3 linked regions of the Macaca mulatta genome follow. The protein of the gene in region 3 binds, or shares a complex with, the protein of the main gene of each other region. Links are inferred from orthologs where the notes say so. Each region holds a gene or a part of one and is shown on either strand. Other genes may lie near its edges.

Region 1 (3,751 bases), on a different chromosome or scaffold from region 3:
AGCGATTCACCTGCCTCAGCCTCCCGAGTAGCTGGGATTACAGGTGCCCGCCACCACGCCCGGCTAATTTTTGTATTTTTAGTAAAGACGGGATTTCACCATATTGGCCAGGCTGGTCTCGAACTCCTGACCTCGGGTGATTCGCCCGCCTCGGCCTCCCAAAGTGCAGGGATTACAGCAGTGAGTCACCGCGTCCGGCCCGGAGTGTGCATTATCCCAATTTTACGGGGAGTAATTGTGCTCACGGAATCCAGTTTTGTGGTCCCTAAGTCTAATCGGTTCACCACCAAGTCGCCACAGCGCGCCTCCGCACGGAAGCCCTCCAGGCACTTCTACTTTCCCCGACCCGCCTCCCGCTCCATCGGGTTACATGCGCCGTTAGCAGCGTGGGCGGAGTTGGTTCTGGCAGAACCAACTGGTCCGGCTTCTGGTGTCTCCCGCTCTCTCAATTAAAAGCCGGCTCCTTGCCTTTCGGCTTCCCCACCGTGCCTTTCGGGATTTGTAGTCAGACGCACTTCAGCCGGCTCTAAGGAGAGCAAAGACAAGACTCCAATTCCCAGCATCCCCCGCGCCGGGAGTGTGCATCGTCTATTCTAATCCTCTTCACTTTTCCACTCCTCCCCTTACCTCCCTTCTCTTCTGAATTCTCCATTCTGGGCTCTTGCCTGTGAAATCTTTCGTCGCTTTCCCCATCTTTTCTTCGCATTTTTTCACCATCTTTCCCTCAGTTTCCAGGAGCCAATGCGAGACTTTGGCTCCGATTAAGCGACGGCCCGAGACTCGGGGTGCGCGAGGAGGATCGACAGAGTGGTGAGGGGACCTAGGAGGGCGGGAGTGGGAGAGGTATGAGAGAGACAGGTGAGTGAGAGGCGAGGAGTGGGAGGAAGGCAGGGAGAAGCTAGGAGATCGGAAGGCGTGGGTCAGGGTGAATGGGGTGAACTAGACTTGGGAAGGGAAAAGAGGTGGCTTTAGATTTGGGAAGCATGGAGGGGAGAGGTTACCGCCGTACTTAGCAGAAGTGGGCTAAGAGATAGAAGATAGGAAGTTCGGGTAGATTTGGAGCTTATAGACTGATCTGACCAGGAGGGATGGAAGAGAGAGGTGTGGGCTCAATTTTCTTTGTCTCTGTTTAGCCGAAGATGAGACAAGTCATTGAAATACAAAATGATCTTGCAAACACAGGACAGTTGACAATTCTGTCACTTGGAGCAGAGGAAAGACTGGAGTTGAAGGGCAGAAACAGGGTGAGGAGGCAAGAAAGGGATGGAGATTGGTCAGGTTTTTGAGAAACCAGAGGAATTGAGTGTCATGGGAAAGGAGGCCACAGAAAAGGTGGGGTTATTGTGGGGACTCATGGATCTGGAATCAGAAAGGTCAGGGGTGACACTGGCATGGATGGTGGGGGTGCGCTTCTGATGTCTGCATTCCTCAGGTGATGGAGAGCACCCCTTCAAGGGGACTGAACCGAGTACACCTACAATGCAGGAATCTGCAGGAATTCTTAGGGGGCCTGAGCCCTGGGGTATTGGACCGATTATATGGGCACCCTGCCACTTGTCTGGCTGTCTTCAGGTGAGGATCCCCTTCATGGCAGGGAAATGTAATGGGGTCTGCGGACTGGAATAAAATATAACAGATAAAAGTGTAGCAGGCTGGGGTAGGGGTGGGGACTCGGGGTGCGGCTTGGAAATTGCTCCAAAGTGTGGGGGCCAAAACAGCAGGACTGGTAAAGTTGTGGTGGAGTGAGATGAGATGTTTGAGAGTTAATTGAGGGCAGAGATGCAGATACAATGCAGCTTCTGATATTAACCTTTGACCTCTGTCCCTGTTCAGGGAGCTCCCATCCTTGGCTAAGAACTGGGTGATGCGGATGCTCTTTCTGGAGCAGCCTTTGCCACAAGCTGCTGTAGCCCTGTGGGTAAAGAAGGAATTCAGCAAGTAAGTCTCAGCCAGATACAAATTTCTCAACAGCTACATTTCCCAAACTACTGTTCCTTGGAGCACTTCCAGGACGTATTAATAGGTATATCACAAAACTTAAAAATAAATACATTTGGGAAACTCTGCATACTGCCTTTTCCCTTTTATTTATTTCCCAGCTGACCTCTTGCTTTCAGATGTATCTTCCCTCTTACAGAGTTATGTGTGATATCTGTAATAAGGCTCTGATAGGTAATGCAGTAAAGAATTTGTCTTCAGATACTAATATCACTCTGTGGAACAGTGTTCCAAGGATCAGCAAGTTCAGAACAGGCAGAGAGGTGGCTTTTATGGTCCTCCTTTTTGTTCTCCAAATACCCTGCTCACCTCTCTGCTTCTGTTCCAGGGCTCAGGAGGAAAGTACAGGGCTGCTGAGCGGCCTCCGGATCTGGCACACCCAGCTGCTCCCAGGCGGGCTCCAGGGCCTCATCCTCAACCCCATTTTCCGCCAGAACCTCCGCATTGCCCTTCTGGGTGGGTATGTCACTTCTCTCTCTTCCTAAGCTAGGGCAGGGGAACTGCTGCTTATTAAACCGCTAATTACAGTTTGGGAGGGGGAGCTCCTGGGGGCCTCCCCGGAACCTTGTGGTCTCCACGTTGGGAGCTCCTTTAGGAGTAAGTTGGATCAGCTGCAGTGTGTGGTGTAGGAAATGTCCCCCACTCATGGCCCCTGAGGATAAGGGTGGAAAGATGGCAGAAGGGTGGCAAGGAACACAGACAGGGTTCCTTACTCTTTTTTTGTTGTTTTGTTTTGTGTGTTTTTGAGACAGAGTCTCGCTCTGTCACCCAGGCAGAGTGCAGTGGTGCGATCTTGGCTCAATGCAGCCTCCACCTCCTGGGTTCAAGTGATTCTCCTGCCTCAGCCTCCTGAGTGACTGGGATTACAGGCAACCACCAGCTAATTTTTTGTATTTTTTGTAGAGATGGGGTTTCACCATGTTGGCCAGTCTGGTCTCAAACTCCTGACCTCAAGTGATCCGCCCATCTTGGCCTCCCAAAGTACAGGGATTACAGGTGTGAGCTCCTGGCCAGGGTTCCTTACTCTTGGCCCATCCTGGCCTTAGGGGGAAGGCCTGGTCTGATGACACAAGTCAGCTGGGACCAGACAAGCATGCCCGGGATGTTCCCTCCCTTGACAAGTATGCCGAGGAGCGATGGGAGGTAAGCACTTGGGACTGTGTGTGTCTCTGCTTGTGCTTCTACTTCCCATGGCCCTTGGGGCATGGTCTCCCTGTTCTCTTCTGTTCTTCAGGTGGTCTTGCACTTCATGGTGGGCTCCCCCAGTGCAGCTGTCAGCCAGGACTTGGCTCAGCTCCTCAGCCAGGCTGGGCTCATGAAGAGGTGAGGAAACCGGAGGTATAGCAGCTCTCTGCAGTGCCATCTCCTTGGGTCCCTAAGAAATGGTATCTGCGGCTAGTCAAGCTCAGAGGACATTAGCTGGAAAAGGCAAGCTGAGTAGAATACAGCCAGAGATACAAAGAAAAAATGTGAGCGGACAAGTGGGGGTAGTAGTCTTTCTCTGCATATCACCGTCATTGTCCCGGTCTTTGTCTGTAGTACTGAACCTGGAGAGCCGCCCTGCATTACTTCCGCTGGCTTCCAGTTCCTGTTGCTGGACACGCCGGCTCAGCTCTGGTACTTTATGTTGCAGTATTTGCAGACAGCCCAGGTGAGGACGCCGGGGCCACTTGCCAGCATGCTCTGCTCCTCTCAGGTCTCACTGAGAGATTCCTGCCTACAGACTGTTCCCTGATTTTCTCTTCTCTGTCCC
Region 2 (2,778 bases), on a different chromosome or scaffold from region 3:
TTCCATCTCTGCCCTTGGGAAATTTTCAGGCTTTTGGGAGTAATATAAATTGAAATATTTAGTAATAAAATCAGTAAGCTGGTAGCTCTCAGACTAGCTGATTATCAGAATCATCTGGGCAGTTCTGCAAATGCAGGCTCTCAGGCCGCTTCACTAGAGATTCTGTTCAGGGATTCTGGAGAAGGACCCGTGAGCCTGTATTTTTTAGCATGCTCTCCTGTTCATTCTGGATGTGTTAGTGTGAACCTAAGCTGGAATAATCAAGACTGACTTCCTAGAGGAGATGGGCCTAGAATTGGCATCCCTTTGCTTGGTGGTAGTCTCCACTGTGGGCCAAGTGTTGTGCTGGGGGCTAGACCTCCGTGGTGAATCACATGTGGTTCTGGGCCACCAGGAGCTCATGGTCTAATGTGGAAACTTTCCAAACAAGTAGTTACAGTTCAGTGAGATTGGTGCCAAGAAAAGTATATCCTGACTGACTTGGGGTACTGAAGAGTCAGCACACGATTTCCAGGATGGAGACATCCGGACCTCTTGCAGGCTTTTAGGGAGATGAAGAGCTTGTAAGAGCACACAAAAGGGAAACAACATGGCTCGTCTAGGGAACCAGAAATAGTTTGGTATGGCTGGAATGTGGGGTAAATACAGGAAAGTAGCACGGGACTGTGCTAGGAAGGCGAACAGGGACCAGACTGCACTCTGGCCTGATAGCCAAGGGGAGTCATAGCAGTGTTGTAAGCAGATGAGTCCCTGGACTGCCTGCTGGCCTCAGGTGAAGGGTAGGGAGGGCTGGGCAGGAAGGGCAGGGCTTCTACTGAGGTGTTGTGGCTATAGAGAATGGAAATGAGGCTGGGTTTCATCCCAGCAATTTGGAAGGCTGAGGCAGGCGGATTGCTTGAGCCCAGGAGTTTGAGACCAGCCTAGGCAACATGGTGAAACCCCATCTATACAAAAAATTAGTATAGCTGGTGGTGTGTGCCTATAGTCCCAGCTGCTTGGGAGGCGGCAGGAGAATTGTTTGGACCTGGGAGGTGGAGGTTGCAGTGAGTCGAGATCTTGCCATTGCACTCCAGTCTGGGCAATGGGAGTGAAACTTTCTCTCCAAAAAATAGAGAGAGAGAGAAAATAGAAATTGAAATGAGGGGCCCTGGGCACTGAGGCAAGGCTCTGGGGTTGGAGCAGTTAGAATGGTGTGCCTTTGCACACGCCACCCTTTCCACCAGGACACTCTGCTGTGGCCGCTGGGCTCAGGCGTCTGCGATAGGCCTCTGCCAGGGAAGATCTCTGGCAGTGCCCCTACACACCACTCCCTACTGTGCCTGTCTACCTAGAAGATGATGTTTCTAGGTGGGGATCAGGATGCCGTTCCACCTTCACTGCCTGTTAGGCCCTTCTCCCTGGGTTTGTAGTCTCCCCAACACCTGTGCGTATCCCTACAGGATGTGTGCCCCTGTGATGGTGGAGCTGGAGGGGGAGACAGATCCTCTGCTCATTGCCATGAAGGAACTCAAGTAAGTCACTCAAATCATGGTTCACTTCTCCAAATCTCTGGGAGGCATCTGTTGGGTTCTCTGTTGCACCCTTTTCTCCCACTTCCCTGGCTGAAGAAGTTGATGCTTATTCCTACAGATCATTAGGAACAGCTCACCAGGAGGTAGGAGGAAGAGAGAAGAGGAGGCAGGGAAAGGGGGGAGGGCACTGATGAGACCGGGACCTTTTCTGGCTGTTGGAGTTTCCCTGTTCCTGCTGCAGGAGGCCTTACCAATAATTCTATCACTCTTCCCCCTCTTGTCTGATATAAAAACTTTCTTTTTCTTGTAATTGCTTTCTTACAAAGTACACTCATCAGCCCCAAGAGGCTGCTCCTAAGACTTCTCTTTCCTTGTGTTTTGCACACAATCTGTTCCTTCTGCGGCAGAGCTGGGGTCACCAGCCCTCATGTACTTGTGACTTTTCCCCTGCCACAGGGCCCGAAAGATCCCCATCATCATTCGCCGTTACCTGCCAGATGGGAGCTATGAAGACTGGGGGGTGGACGAGCTCATCATCACCGACTGAGCTGGAGTCATCTTCCTGCCCTTGCCCAATTTTCATTCCCACTTTATATGTGTAAATAAAATATTCAACTTTCCAACCCCCTTCCCCTCTGCTTATCTGCGATGTCACCACCTTTTGCTTCCCTGTTACCGCCATGCTGCCTGGAGCATACACCTATTCCAGTGGCCCTGTGACTGTCAGCTCCTTAAGAAGCACCAGAGGCCCTTAGCCCCTTTGGATCCCCCACATCCTTCCCTCCATCTCCCTGTTCCCCAGAGCAAAGGCTGCTGCAGGGGAGACACCTCAGCTGCCTTCCCAGCAGACAGACGAGTCTTTGTGCCCAGGGAGCTGGTTGCCACGGAAACCCCCAATTTCCTTTCCAGTGGGGACTGGCTGCAGGGGCTTCTCCCTTCTCAGGAGTATCACAGAGCAGGTCTCATCAAGCCACCCATTGTTTCCTAAGGACCTGCTTCGAGCCTCTTATCGTGGGCTCGGATCCCCTTTCAGGAGCAGTGCCCCAGCAGGAAGCGTGGGGGTGTGCTGATCTCCCACCGTCCCCAGGCAGAGCCCTGCTGGGCAAGTCAGCGGCTGAAGCAAGGACCGAGCACCTGCCTACCCCTGCCCCCATGCCTCTGTCCCCACTCCTCCTCAGGACTCTGCCCACACGCTGTCCTCTGTGGCCCACCTCTTTGGTGTGCCACACCCATGCCATCTTCCCAGCCCCTATAAGATATCCTTTCC
Region 3 (3,651 bases):
TTCTTTCTGTGGGTTTGGACAAATGTGTAATGGCCTATGTCCACCACTATAGTTCTCAGGGCTCTGCTTGTTCATCCTTCTCTCCCCTGCAACCCTTGGCAGCCACTAAACTTTTTTTAATTTTTAAATTTTTATTTATTTATTTATTTATTTTTGAGACAGAGTCTTGCTCTGTTGCCAGGCTGGAATGCAGTGGCTTGATCTTGGCTCACTGCAACCTCCGCCTCCCGGGTTTAAGTGGTTCCCCTGCGTCAGTCTCCTGAGTAGCTGAGACTACAGGCACGTGCCACCATGTCCAGCTAATTTTTTGTATTTTAGTAGAGATGAGGTTTCACCATGTTGGCCAGGATGGTCTCAATCTCCTGACCTTGTGATCCTCCCGCGTCGGCCTCCCAAAGTGCTGGACTACAGGTGTGAGCCACTGCATCTGGCCTGCAGCCACTGAACTTTTTATTGTCTCCGTGGTTTTTGTCTTTTCCAGAATGTCAGTAGTTGGAGCCATACAGTATGTAGCCTTTTCAGATTGGCTTCTTTCCCTTAGTAATACGTATTTAAGGTTTCTCCATATTTTTTTCATAGCTTGATAGCTCATTTCGTTTTAGCTCTGGATAGTATTCCATTGTCTGGATATACCACAGTTTATTTACCCACTCAGCTACTGAAGGACATCTTGGTTGCTTCCAGCTTTTGGCAATTATGGATAAAGCTGTAATAAGCATCCTTAGTGGATTTTTGTATGTACATAATTTTTTGGCTCATTTGGGTAAATACCAAGGATCATGATTGCTAGATTCATCAAATGGTAAGAGTGTATTTAGTGTTGTAAGAAACTGCTGAACTGTCATTCCACAGTGGCTGTGCCATTTTGCACACTCTTCCTGTTCCTTTGCATCTGCTCTAGCTTTTGGTATCTACGTGTGTGTGTGTGTGTGTGTGTGTGTGTGTGTGTGTTCATTGGATAGGCATGATACATATGTGTTTTAACTTATTACTTTGTCCTGGACATCTTTTCAAATTAGCACATAGAGAAATTTTACATTTACTTTGTGAACATCAGTATAGTGGAATGGATGTGCTGTGGTTAATCTATCTTCTGATTATGGACACTTGGGTTATTTCTAATATTTTCTTTTTATAAACAATGCTACAGTGACCATAAGTCACTTTTCTTTTCTTTTTTTTTCTTTTTTTTTTAAATTTGAGTTGGAGTCTTGCTCTGTCACCCGGGCTGGAGTGCAGTGGCGTGATCTCAGCTCACTGCAAGCTCCACCTCCCGAGTTCACGCCATTCTCCTGCCTCAGCTTCCCGAGTAGCTGGGACTACAGGCACCCACCACCATGCCTGGCTAATTTTTTATATTTTTAGTAGAGATGGGGTTTCACTGTGTTAGCCAGGACGGTCTTGATCTCATGACATCGTGATCCGCCTGCCTTGGCCTCTCAAAGTGCTGGGATTACAGGTGTGAGCCACTGCGCCCGGCCCGTAAGTCATTTTTCTATGTGGTACTGGTATTTCTGTAGGATAAGTTTCTAGAAATAGGATTGTTTGGTGAAAGTTGAGTATCTTTTCCTATGTTTAAGGTCATTTTTGTAATCTGCACGTTTCTGTCTTTGGGTCATTTTCTGTTTTTTTTTTTTTTTTTTTTTTTGAGATCTTGCTCTGTCTCCCAGATCTCAGCTTTCTGCAGCCTCCTTCTCCCAGGTTCAAGCGATTCTCCTGTCTCAGCCTCCCAAGTAGCTGGGATTACAAGCATGCACCACCATGCACGGCTGATTTTTTTATTTTTAGTAGACATGGGGTTTCACCATGTTGGTCAGGCTGGTCTCGAACGCCTGACGTGAAGTGATCCCACCTGCCTCAGCCCCACAAAGTGCTGGGATTACAGCCGTGAGCCACCATGCCTGGCCTATTTGTTAGGTTTTTGAAGCTCTTGAAATATTAGGAAGAATTAGCTCTTGGTGATATGAGTTGCATATATTTTTTGTCAGTTTATCTTTTTATTTTATAGAGCAATGAGTTTCAACTCCGTTCTGATTTCATAGTCTGTGGCTCTTCGTCACTATAATTATACTACCTGGAATAATACATGTTTTTCATTCCTGAAGATTTATGTACACGTAACTATGATTTAATGCATCTAGCATTTTAAAACTGTCTTCTAATAACAGTTTCTTCACTTGATAGACACGGCATCAGCGAGGAGATACGCATCCTCTAACCTTAGATGAAATTTTGGATGAAACACAACATTTAGATATTGGACTCAAGCAGAAACAATGGCTAATGACTGAGGTGAGAATTTAGTTGATTATCAAGAGAGATTTCCTGTAACTAGAATTTTTTTTTTTTTTTTTAGGCAGTCTTGCCTAAAAAAAGAGTCTTGCTCAGGCTGGAGTGCAGTGGCGTGATCTCAGCTCACTACTGACTTGGCCTACCGAGTAGTTGGGATTGCAGGCATGCGCCACAATGCCAGGCTAATTTTTGTGTTTTTAGTAGCGATGGGGTTTCACCATGTTGGCCAGGCTGATGTTGAACTCCTGACCTCAAGTGATCGGCCCACCTTGACTTCCCAGAGTGCTGGGGTTATAGGCGTGAGCCACCGCACCTTGCCTAGAATGTTTTAATATGGTGAAATCTGATAATGCTTTTTACTTTTTCTTAAAAGAAATGTTGTAGGGTCTTTGTTTTTTGAATGTACACATTTGTAAGATTGATTTGTTGGTTTTCACTTAATTTTATGTATCTATTTCAAAATGTTAAAGGTAAGACTTCTGTGTAAAGGTTGTAAAGAAGTCATTGTACCAGTTCCACTTATGTTTTTACAGATTAATTAATGCTTATTTTGTATTGCCAGATTTATAATTTGTATGCTTGTAAATTGAATTGTTTTTGTTTTAGAAAATTTAAAGCATAAGATACTGCAGGGATAGGAAGATATTTTGTTGCATAATTACTGCTCTTATGGCTTGATGTGGAAAAAAGTCGTGAATGCTGTGTATGAACACACACCATTTGAAGAAACCCCAGCACAGTCAGTGACCGTGCTAATTTGGAAATAAATAGCATTTAAAAATTCAGATGTTCACTGCTTTTGAATTTAAATGCGAAGTGAAAACTAAGAAGACTACTTTCTAGGACCAGAGAGAGATTCTAGAATCCAAATGTAAAATTCCTAACGTATAATTCATTTATTTTTTTACCACGCAAAATATAGGTCTTGACTTTTATAATGTAGCATGACCATTAATTAGCATAATTGTAGCTCATTGTATTAGTGATGTACAAACAATGGTAATCCACATTTAAATTTGCTGGTTTAGCTAACCTTGAGAGTTCATAGACTACCAACATATAGTTAACATGACTTTGATCATTTTACTATTCTATTCTCCCTTTTTTCTTCTTCCTGTGTTTCTTCTCTCTCTCCTTTCAGGGTCAGGCTGGCAGCTGCAGAAGAAAATATATAGGGTTGCTCTTTTTGAAGAGCTTTCCTTCTGATACTAGCTGTACAACAGAACTGACTAGAAACATAATTATATTCAGTAATTCCTGCATTCCTACTCAGTTTCATTCTCAAGCTGACATAGGTAAAGTTCTTGTATGCACTAGTCTGGTCCTTTTCAGTTCGTTACACAGCTGCCAGTGCCAGTT

The links.
Region 1: GTF2E2 (region 3) and GTF2H4 share a complex: the UniProt entries of both Homo sapiens proteins name them as parts of the TBP-based Pol II pre-initiation complex. The link is inferred for Macaca mulatta from reciprocal best matches to the Homo sapiens genes GTF2E2 and GTF2H4.
Region 2: GTF2E2 (region 3) and POLR2F share a complex: the UniProt entries of both Homo sapiens proteins name them as parts of the TBP-based Pol II pre-initiation complex. The link is inferred for Macaca mulatta from reciprocal best matches to the Homo sapiens genes GTF2E2 and POLR2F.

The regions. Positions count from the first base shown.
Region 1 is NC_133409.1:152,144,824-152,148,574, reverse strand, and holds the start of GTF2H4 (general transcription factor IIH subunit 4), read left to right. Parts: upstream 1-1,435; coding exon 1,436-1,572; intron 1,573-1,833; coding exon 1,834-1,938; intron 1,939-2,326; coding exon 2,327-2,458; intron 2,459-3,044; coding exon 3,045-3,141; intron 3,142-3,232; coding exon 3,233-3,321; intron 3,322-3,537; coding exon 3,538-3,649; intron 3,650-3,751. UniProt on the Homo sapiens protein: Component of the general transcription and DNA repair factor IIH (TFIIH) core complex, which is involved in general and transcription-coupled nucleotide excision repair (NER) of damaged DNA and, when complexed to CAK, in RNA transcription by RNA polymerase II.
Region 2 is NC_133415.1:13,537,589-13,540,366, reverse strand, and holds the end of POLR2F (DNA-directed RNA polymerases I, II, and III subunit RPABC2), read left to right. Parts: intron 1-1,439; coding exon 1,440-1,511; intron 1,512-1,967; coding exon 1,968-2,058; 3' UTR 2,059-2,142; downstream 2,143-2,778. UniProt on the Homo sapiens protein: DNA-dependent RNA polymerase catalyzes the transcription of DNA into RNA using the four ribonucleoside triphosphates as substrates.
Region 3 is NC_133413.1:32,393,469-32,397,119, reverse strand, and holds part of GTF2E2 (transcription initiation factor IIE subunit beta), read left to right. Parts: intron 1-2,184; coding exon 2,185-2,292; intron 2,293-3,651. UniProt on the Homo sapiens protein: Recruits TFIIH to the initiation complex and stimulates the RNA polymerase II C-terminal domain kinase and DNA-dependent ATPase activities of TFIIH. Both TFIIH and TFIIE are required for promoter clearance by RNA polymerase.